Canis lupus familiaris: one gene and its partner. The protein of the gene in region 1 purifies or fractionates together with the protein of each later gene. This does not show direct contact. Links are inferred from orthologs where the notes say so. Each region holds a gene or a part of one and is shown in the gene's direction. Other genes may lie near its edges. The genes, in order: MYL6 and IQGAP1.

Region 1 (4,530 bases):
CTGGTCTCAACACTGACCTCTCCTTGTACTTCAGAGTTCAAGGAGGCCTTTGAGCTGTTTGATCGAGTAGGGGACGGCAAGATCCTGTATGGTCAGTGTGGGGATGTGATGAGGGCTCTGGGCCAGAACCCCACCAACGCCGAGGTGCTCAGGATCCTGGGGAACCCCAAGAGTGATGGTGAGGGGGATGCCTGGAGCAATGCGGTTTTTCAGTGTGGTGGTGGAACCGAGGAATGGTGGCAAGGTGACAAAGGATGCTGGGGTGGCTCTTGGGACTTCAAACACTGTCAGACACCTTTAAAAAAACATCCTGAACGTTGAATGGGATGAAAAGCTTCGTGGTAGGGATGGAGCTGGGCCCAAGGTGACACTACAGTGACCCCTCCCTCCCGTTTCCAACCTCCAGAGCTGAAGTCCCGGCGTGTGGACTTCGAGACTTTCCTGCCCATGCTCCAAGCAGTCTCCAAGAACCGGGACCAAGGGACATACGAGGACTACCTGGAGGGGCTTCGAGTGTTTGACAAAGAGGGGAACGGCAAAGTCATGGGCGCGGAGCTCAGACACGTGCTCACCACCCTGGGTGAGGCAGGGACGGAACTCGGGGCGGGCGGGGAGCAGGGGCCAGACCAGTAGGCACGGAGGCAGGGCCGGGAAGCATTACCGCCCTACAGGCCATGGGCAGGGGCTAAGGAGGTCGGAGCCCTGGGGCAGAACCCGAAGGTAAGGGGAGGGGGTGCAGTTGCCTCCCACAGGACAGAGGAGAGGGGTGAGGTGGAAAGCCTGACTTTTTGCTGTGGGAGAGAGGCCTGCGCTCTGTGACCTGGGGCCCCCGTCCCCTTTCCCTCCGTGGAGGCGTTGACCAGGCGCGCGGGCAGGTGCAGTGGGAGGGAGAGGCAGGGCACACTGAGGGGCCCTTACCAGGATTCCTTTGGGCTTCGGCTCGGCGCCAAGCTTGGGGGGGGGGGGGGCACCGCCCGGAAGAGGAAGGGCGGGGGGGTGGGCAGGGACTGATCTGTTCTGTCGGGCTCAGGAGAGAGGATGACTGAGGAGGAGGTGGAGACCGTCCTGGCCGGACATGAGGACAGCAACGGCTGCATCAACTATGAAGGTGAGGGGCCGCGGGAGCGGCGGGAGCGGCGGGAGCGGCGGGGCCGGGGCTCGCGGTCCGGGTGGGGGGGACGGACCCGGATTATCTGAACCCGGAGCCGGGCCTGCTTCTGAACCCTCCCGCCTCGTCTCCGCAGCCTTCCTGAAGCACATCCTCAGCGTCTGAGCTCCTACAGGTAGGGCCGTCCCGCTGCGCTCGAGGCAGCTTCCGTCCCTCCCCTCGGCGGGGCCACGGAGCCGGGAAGGCGAGCCCACGGCGCCGCGCGAGCGACCGCCCTCGGCAGCTTGCCTCGTTTCCACAGGCGCGGTGGGGCTGGACTCGGCGCCCCTCCCCGGCGATGGAAGCACGTTCCTGCCACTAGGAGGTCCCCTGTTGTTTCAAAATAAAGAGACGGCTCCTCCCTAGGCGTCCGACTGCTGCTTTCTTGGTGGGGGGGGAGACGGGGGGCGGCCTCTCCTCTCCGGGATCGCCGACCCTCCGATTCCTCGCGCCTGGCTCCACCCGCCGCCGCAGCTCGGCCCCCCGCAGGGAGCGCGGCGCCAGAGGGAGGAGCGGAGGCCCCGCCCACCTCATTACTAACGTAGCGCCCTCATCTGCATAAGGCCGGGCCGCCGTTTCTATTGGCTGGGCCGGCGCTGTGACGTCACGGGGACGCACGAGGACTAGGGCAGGGCCGGGCGCCGGAGCCATTGCTGCAGGAGAGGGTCCCGCAGAGGCGCGCCGTCGCGATGGTGGGGCCCGGGCCCGGGACGCGGAGCGTGGCTCGGGGCGAGGCGGGAGGCCGGGGCGGGGCTTTGCGGAGCGAACCCGAGGGCCTGGCAGGTCGGGGGCGGGGTTGGAGAGTTCGGGGGTCTTGTCCTGGCGGGAAGCGAGTCCCCAGCACGGAGCAGGACTTAGTGGTTCAGTTGGCGGGACGGGGATGGACGCTTGGGGGCTGCAGTTGAGATGCTGACGGCCCCCCTCTTCCCTGAGCAGTGTGATTTCACCGAGGACCAGACCGCCGGTACGTAAGCCCCGACCCGCTGAGGTCGCGTCTCGGGAGAGGGGCCCCCGCCTCCAGCACTACCCCCACCAGGCCGGCCCTCTCTTCCCCCCGGGACCTACTTCCTGCCGTCTCCTCTCCCTCCTCGGCATCCTCCATTTTCTCTTCTCACTCTTTCTTCCTCCCTCCCCTTCCACTCTAGATCCGAGCCCCAAGCCCCGGGTGAGTGTTAGGCGGTGTGGGCATGAGACAACTTGGTCACCTAACGCCTGCGGTGTGTGCGGGGCGGGGAGGGTGTATTAAGTTGCCTGCGCTCCTCCGTCCCTTAATCAGCTTCTGCCTCTTTCCTCCTCCTGTGATAACACCACCCCCAGCTCCCCCCCCCCCCCCCCCCCCGCCCAGTCCGGGATTGTGAAGAGTGTAGAAAGCAGTGACCTGGAATTCTGTGAAAATGGGGACGGGAATTTGCTGAGGATATTTCATAGCAGTGCCCTCTAGAAGTCTGTACCGGAGAGGTGGGAAGTGGCAGGCAGGGATGACCCCGGTCCCCGGCTGCTGCTCCCTCTTCCTTATAAGGACAGGACCCAGACTGGGCGGTGGCGAATTCCTGCCCTGAGTGTAGTGAGGAGGCTGGGCGGGCTTGCTGTCGGCAGAGGGGCGTGTAAGTGGCTGTTACCCTTCAGCCCTGGGGAGGGGGAGGCCGTGTCGTTATGTGGAACGCCTGAGCAGGGACGCAGGGACGCTAGATCCCTCTCAGCGGGCCTGGGCGTACAGTGGTACAAACACCTGGTCTCCTCAGCATGATCAAGAGTTGACTGGGCAGAGGGGGTTTGGGAGGCAGGGTTTGGGTCAACCCCCGCATGCTCAGTGCTGATCTTGTCTGAATCTTCAGAGTTCAAGGAGGCCTTTCAGCTGTTCGATCGAACAGGGGATGGCAAGATCCTGTACAGCCAGTGTGGGGACGTGATGAGGGCCCTGGGCCAGAACCCCACCAACGCCGAGGTGCTCAAGGTCCTGGGGAACCCCAAGAGCGATGGTGAGGGTCCTCAGGAACTATTCCTCAGTGTGGTAATGGGCCTACAGTTCTTTAGCTAAGAGCTTCCCTTTATCTTCATGGGCCCAGACCTCAAGCACATTTGTCTCAACTAGCAAATCCCACAGATTACTCCTGCTTTCAGTGGGAGCCCCCTGCCCCCGTGGGAGCCCTGTAGTCTCCTCAGTCCTGAGGACCCGGGTGACTTTCCTTCCCCCTCCTTTATGGCAGAGATGAATGTGAAGGTGCTGGACTTTGAACACTTCCTGCCCATGCTGCAGACTGTGGCCAAGAACAAGGACCAGGGCACCTATGAGGACTACGTCGAAGGCCTTCGGGTGTTTGACAAGGAAGGGAATGGCACCGTCATGGGTGCTGAAATCCGGCACGTTCTTGTCACGCTGGGTAAGGCTCTGCCCTTGCTCCTTTGAGCTGAGGTGCCACCTGACACACACTTGCCACCCAGATCCCAGAATGCTTTTCTTTCCTTCTGCAGGTGAGAAGATGACGGAGGAAGAAGTAGAGATGCTGGTGGCGGGGCATGAGGACAGCAATGGTTGTATCAACTATGAAGGTGAGGGACTTGGGGCTCTCGTGGAGGAAGCGGTTGTACAGGCAGCTCTTGCCCAAGTGTTTGGGGCTCCGGAGGCAAAGGGCAGGGCCTGGCCCAGCCCGGGAGCGGGAGGCCATGGGGGTATATGACAGGAAAGAAAAGGGTAATGTGTGAAGGGTGGGGAAGGAACGGGAAGTAAAATAAAGGGAATGTCTGTTCCCCCACCACCTGAACCCTTCACCCCATGTCTGTGTCTTGTCTTCACCATGAGTGTCTCTTCCTTCCTGCAGCGTTTGTGAGGCATATCCTGTCGGGGTGACCGGCCCATGGGGCGGGTACGGCTCCTCCCAGCCTCCCTTCTCTAGTCGCCCTCCCCAGTGTTTTTCTCCCCAACCTCTGCTCTCTAGTCCCTGCCCCTCCCCTACTACCATCTGACTTCCTCCTAGCATGTTTCTGCATGGAGCTGACTGGGCAGGGGAGGGGTTCCTCAAAGAGGAAGACAGCCTGGGGGTGTGGTACCTCCTCTCCTAGAATGGGCTCTGAGGTTTTGCTTCTAGGGTCCAGGTGCCGGTGTCTGGGAACTTGCACCAGCCGGTCCCCATCTTGCTTCAGGGTGATCCTTTGGCCCTGGGGCCCAGGTGGTTGGCATGGGGGGGGGGGTGTCGCCTGCCCCATTGTGCTGCTGTAGCAGAATAGTCATTTCTTCTTCCTTCTGCTGGGCAGCTTGGAGGTACCCTAACCCAAATCTCTGTCTTCTCCTGCCAATGGCTGACAATAGCTGTAGGTGTAGTTGAGAACTTTTCTGCCTCCTGCTGTGTTCTTGCTGCTCAGGGTAGGGTGGGGGGCTAACAGCT
Region 2 (3,803 bases), on another chromosome or scaffold:
CAATCCTCAAACATGCATTCATCCTTTCCTCCCTCTCCTTCCAGTCTAGTTTCCCCTTGATTATCCTTTTACCATTGGATTTAAGCAGTGGCCACGGGGAAAGCCAAGAGAATTCCTGTGACATCATCCTTTCAGAGGGTGGCATTCCTCCATGGTCCCTCTTCCCACAGCATGCAAGGGCTGCAGGGAGAGGTTCCCGGCTCTCCCCAAGTCTCCGAGCATGTGGTAGTTAGAGTAGTAGCCACACACTGTTCTACCTGTAGAAGTGTTTTGGGCCTTTATTTGGTACCCCTTTTCACTCTTGAAGAAAGATTGTTTTGTTCTTTTTAAGATTTTATATGTTTATTTGAGAAAGAGAGAGGGAGAGCGCAAGTGGGAGGAGGAGCAGAGGGAGAGGCAGGAGCAGACTCCCCGCTGAACAGGGAGCCCCACGTGGGGCTTAATCCCAGGACTCTAGGATCTTGACCTGAGCCAAAGGCAGATGCTTCACAAACTGAGCCACCCAGGCACCCCTTGAAGATTGTTAATATTCTTTCTACATTTCACAGAATATTTTTATATGAGAATGAAAAAAATCACACCCTTATGATGTTATGTTTCAACAGGTTTAAAAATGTTATCTTTGAAATCAGTCCAACAGAAGAAGTTGGAGACTTTGAAGTGAAAGCCAAGTTCATGGGTGTTCAAATGGAGACATTTATGTTGCATTATCAGGTGGGTATGCACCATACAGAACTGAAAACTTTATATGTGATGTGGTTGTGTTCTTTTTGGGGTGGACAGTAGGTAAAAAAGACACATGTTTGGATCACCCTGCATTGAGCCAGCGCCCACACAGGCGGGAAAGGAGCTGAGGGCTGCTGTGCATCTGACTTGGTCTGTACTCCCTGGAGAGCTTGGGCAGATCTGGACGTCTTCTGAAAGCTTTTATCTGAAGCTACTACTTAGTGTTGGCACTAAATTGAACTGGTACCTTGACGTTGAACAAAATGTTTAAGTAATGATAGTAGAAAATTGTAAACCTATTCAATAGCTTGAAATCTTTTCTCATTTTGATTTGATTTTGGGGACTTAAAAGTGTATTTCTGACAAGATGTGTATAAATTGCATCTTTGTAAACTGAATCCCATTTTAAATTCGGGAAGAACTCTGCAGTGAATCATTTATAACATAATTTAACCTATTTTTTATTCCAAAATATTTCTAGTCTTTACGCAGTAGAAAAGCACCAGGGTACCACAAGGCCTCCTGGGCTCTGTCCAGGCTCCACAGCTCCGTGTGTGTCCTCATCACTTCTGTCCCATTCCTTGTACTGCATCTCACTGCTGTGCTCTGTGGGCCTGGGCAGGGGCCATCTCTGAACGTGTGCTGGGCTTCTGCACCTGCTGCCCACCCCCCAGCCCTCTCATTTATTCCTGCACACATGCCTGCCAGACCGTGAGCTCCTTAAGGACCCACGGTAGTGTGTCTTCATTTCCTCCTTAGTGATGAGTAGACCTTCAAACATGTTAGCTGAACAAAAGTGAAGTGATTCTGTGATGCACATGCTCAGGTGCTTACACCCAAAAAAAAAGATCCTGTCACGTCTTTAGTCTCACCAGCGTTGCACAGGCCGACCAGCCTGCCTCGGTAGCATGTTGATCCGTGCACAGGCGCATTAAATATAGAATGAGGATCAGGTGCAGGTGTTCTGTCAGGCACAGGTGACACACCAGGGCCTTCGTTCTCATGGAGCTGCTAGAATTTTTCCAGAAGTTGCATTGTTTGAACTTTGGGTTCTTTCAAGTGCCTTGACTCATTCTGTCTCTTCTGAAGTTCATGTGCAAGACTACTCACTTCCTAAATGTGCTCTGGACAGTAGAGGGCAATGGGAGAAGCAGGGGCTCTAGATCCAGATCCAGATCCACTCCATGCCACTCTGAATATCTCTGAGCCTCATCTTTAAACTCGGGATAATCACACCTATAGGACTTTTATCAGGACTTAAAAAGACACTATCTGATGTGCCTACCCAATGTTGAGCACACTGGAGGCACCTAATAAACATTTTGTCCTTCTTCCCCTTGCCTTCAAAATATAGAAATTTTCTCACGTGAAATAAAAAGTAAGACTCTAGTGGATACTATTGAGATGACGTTAGTGGCTGTATCCTGTCTTCAGTGATTAGTATATTTTATCATAGATTGAAATGCCTCCCCCTTCCCCAGGTGACCCATCACTTAGACAAACTGGAGACACGTTATTGTCAGCTCTGAAATAGGAAGTATGTGTGATGAGTGAACATGCTGCTTTTTCTTTCCATGTTTTGTGTATTTTGATATACAGATGTACCAGAATATTCTGTTGAGCAGCATGTCCCATTCCTTGAGTCTCAGGGTGGTTGTGCAGTGGACCGTTCTGTGGTTGGGCACCTCTTTTTCACACCACTTCACATTTGTCATTCCTTGTTCCTTCTGGATCCCTCCCTACATCATGTCCTTTCTTATTCCACAGACTTGTTTGACTGTAAAATGTTGTTTTTATAGGACCTGCTGCAGCTACAGTATGAAGGAGTCGCAGTCATGAAATTATTTAATAGAGCTAAAGTAAATGTCAACCTTCTGATCTTCCTCCTCAACAAAAAGTTCTACGGGAAGTAATTGATCCATTGCCACCAGACCAGAAGGATGAAGGAAAGAAGCTCCTCACGGTGACCTTTCTTGGGTCCTTCTTTACTCATTGGAAGCAAAGACCCAGGCCACAAAAAAGCCTCAACTTGATACACTCCCAACGCCACGTTTTTAACCCTCCCACTCTGATGGGATGTCTATTGCCCTTTCTTCATAGTGAAACTGTATTTCAGGCTGTCCGACCCTCTTGTCCCCTCATTTTCTTCCGTCACTTAGGAAAGAGTGGAGGCTCCACTAAAATCTCTGTTGTTATGGTCTTAGAGGCTGCATTACTCTATTGTAAGCTTTGGTGTTTAAATTAGCAACAGGGATGGTGGGGCTTGAATTCTTGTTACTTGGAAGTAGGATCTATCAACACGAATAACACATGCACATAAGGCACACAACTCACAAGTCAGGTCATCTCCTGGCATTCAGTTGTCATTTGAAGGTGAAATTCCTTTACGTTTCCATCCCATCGGTCAAATGGAAGGATCCAGGGGCTCATTGGTTCTCTTCCACTGTTTTCCTTTATAAGCAGGAGCTAACAGAAGTCAGTGCTCTGTGTTCAAAGAAACATTTCTAGCAAAGGGGAGACACAGTTTTAAAATGTTACCATTAGGGCAGCCCCCGTGGCGCAGTGGTTTGGCGCCGCCTGCAGCCTGGGGTGTGATCCTGAGACTCAGGATCGAGTCCCACATCGGGCTCCCTGCATGGAGCCTGCTTCTCCCTCTGTCTGTATCTCTGCCTCTCTCTCTCTCTCTCTCTCTCTCTCTCTCTCTCTCTCTGTCATGAATAAATAAATAAAATCTTTAAAAAAAAAAAATAAAATAAAAAAAAATAAAATGTTACCATTAGGGCAGCCCGGGTGGCTTAGCAGTTTAGCGGCACCTTTGGCCCAGCGCAGGATCCTCGAGACCCGGGATTGAGTCCCACGTCGGGCTTCCTGCATGGGGCCTGCTTCTCCCTCTGCCTGTGTCTCTGCCTCTCTCTGTCTCTCATGAATAGATAAATAAAATCTTTTTAAAAAATAAAATAAAATGTTACCATTAAAAAATAAATAAAATAAAATGTCACCATTAAATTTGAGCAGTACTGTTGGTGTAGTTCTCTCATCAGCGGGAGGGAGAGTCCCATCAATAAACCCAGCTATGT

Evidence for each region.
Region 2: the proteins of MYL6 (region 1) and IQGAP1 purify together in Homo sapiens (affinity purification with mass spectrometry; 4 studies listed by BioGRID and IntAct, counting the BioPlex papers as one, with this or other methods). This does not show direct contact. The link is inferred for Canis lupus familiaris from reciprocal best matches to the Homo sapiens genes MYL6 and IQGAP1.

Annotation. Positions count from the first base shown.
Region 1 is NC_049231.1:828,471-833,000, forward strand, and holds the start of MYL6 (myosin light polypeptide 6), read left to right. Parts: upstream 1-1,705; 5' UTR 1,706-1,836; coding exon 1,837-1,839; intron 1,840-2,083; coding exon 2,084-2,111; intron 2,112-2,982; coding exon 2,983-3,126; intron 3,127-3,354; coding exon 3,355-3,528; intron 3,529-3,619; coding exon 3,620-3,697; intron 3,698-3,966; coding exon 3,967-3,995; 3' UTR 3,996-4,011; intron 4,012-4,530. Other genes in the region: MYL6B (myosin light chain 6B), read left to right, coding at 35-178, 407-580, 1,031-1,108, 1,245-1,273. UniProt on the Homo sapiens protein: Regulatory light chain of myosin. Does not bind calcium.
Region 2 is NC_049224.1:54,170,126-54,173,928, reverse strand, and holds the end of IQGAP1 (ras GTPase-activating-like protein IQGAP1), read left to right. Parts: intron 1-605; coding exon 606-714; intron 715-2,525; coding exon 2,526-2,639; 3' UTR 2,640-3,422; downstream 3,423-3,803. UniProt on the Homo sapiens protein: Plays a crucial role in regulating the dynamics and assembly of the actin cytoskeleton.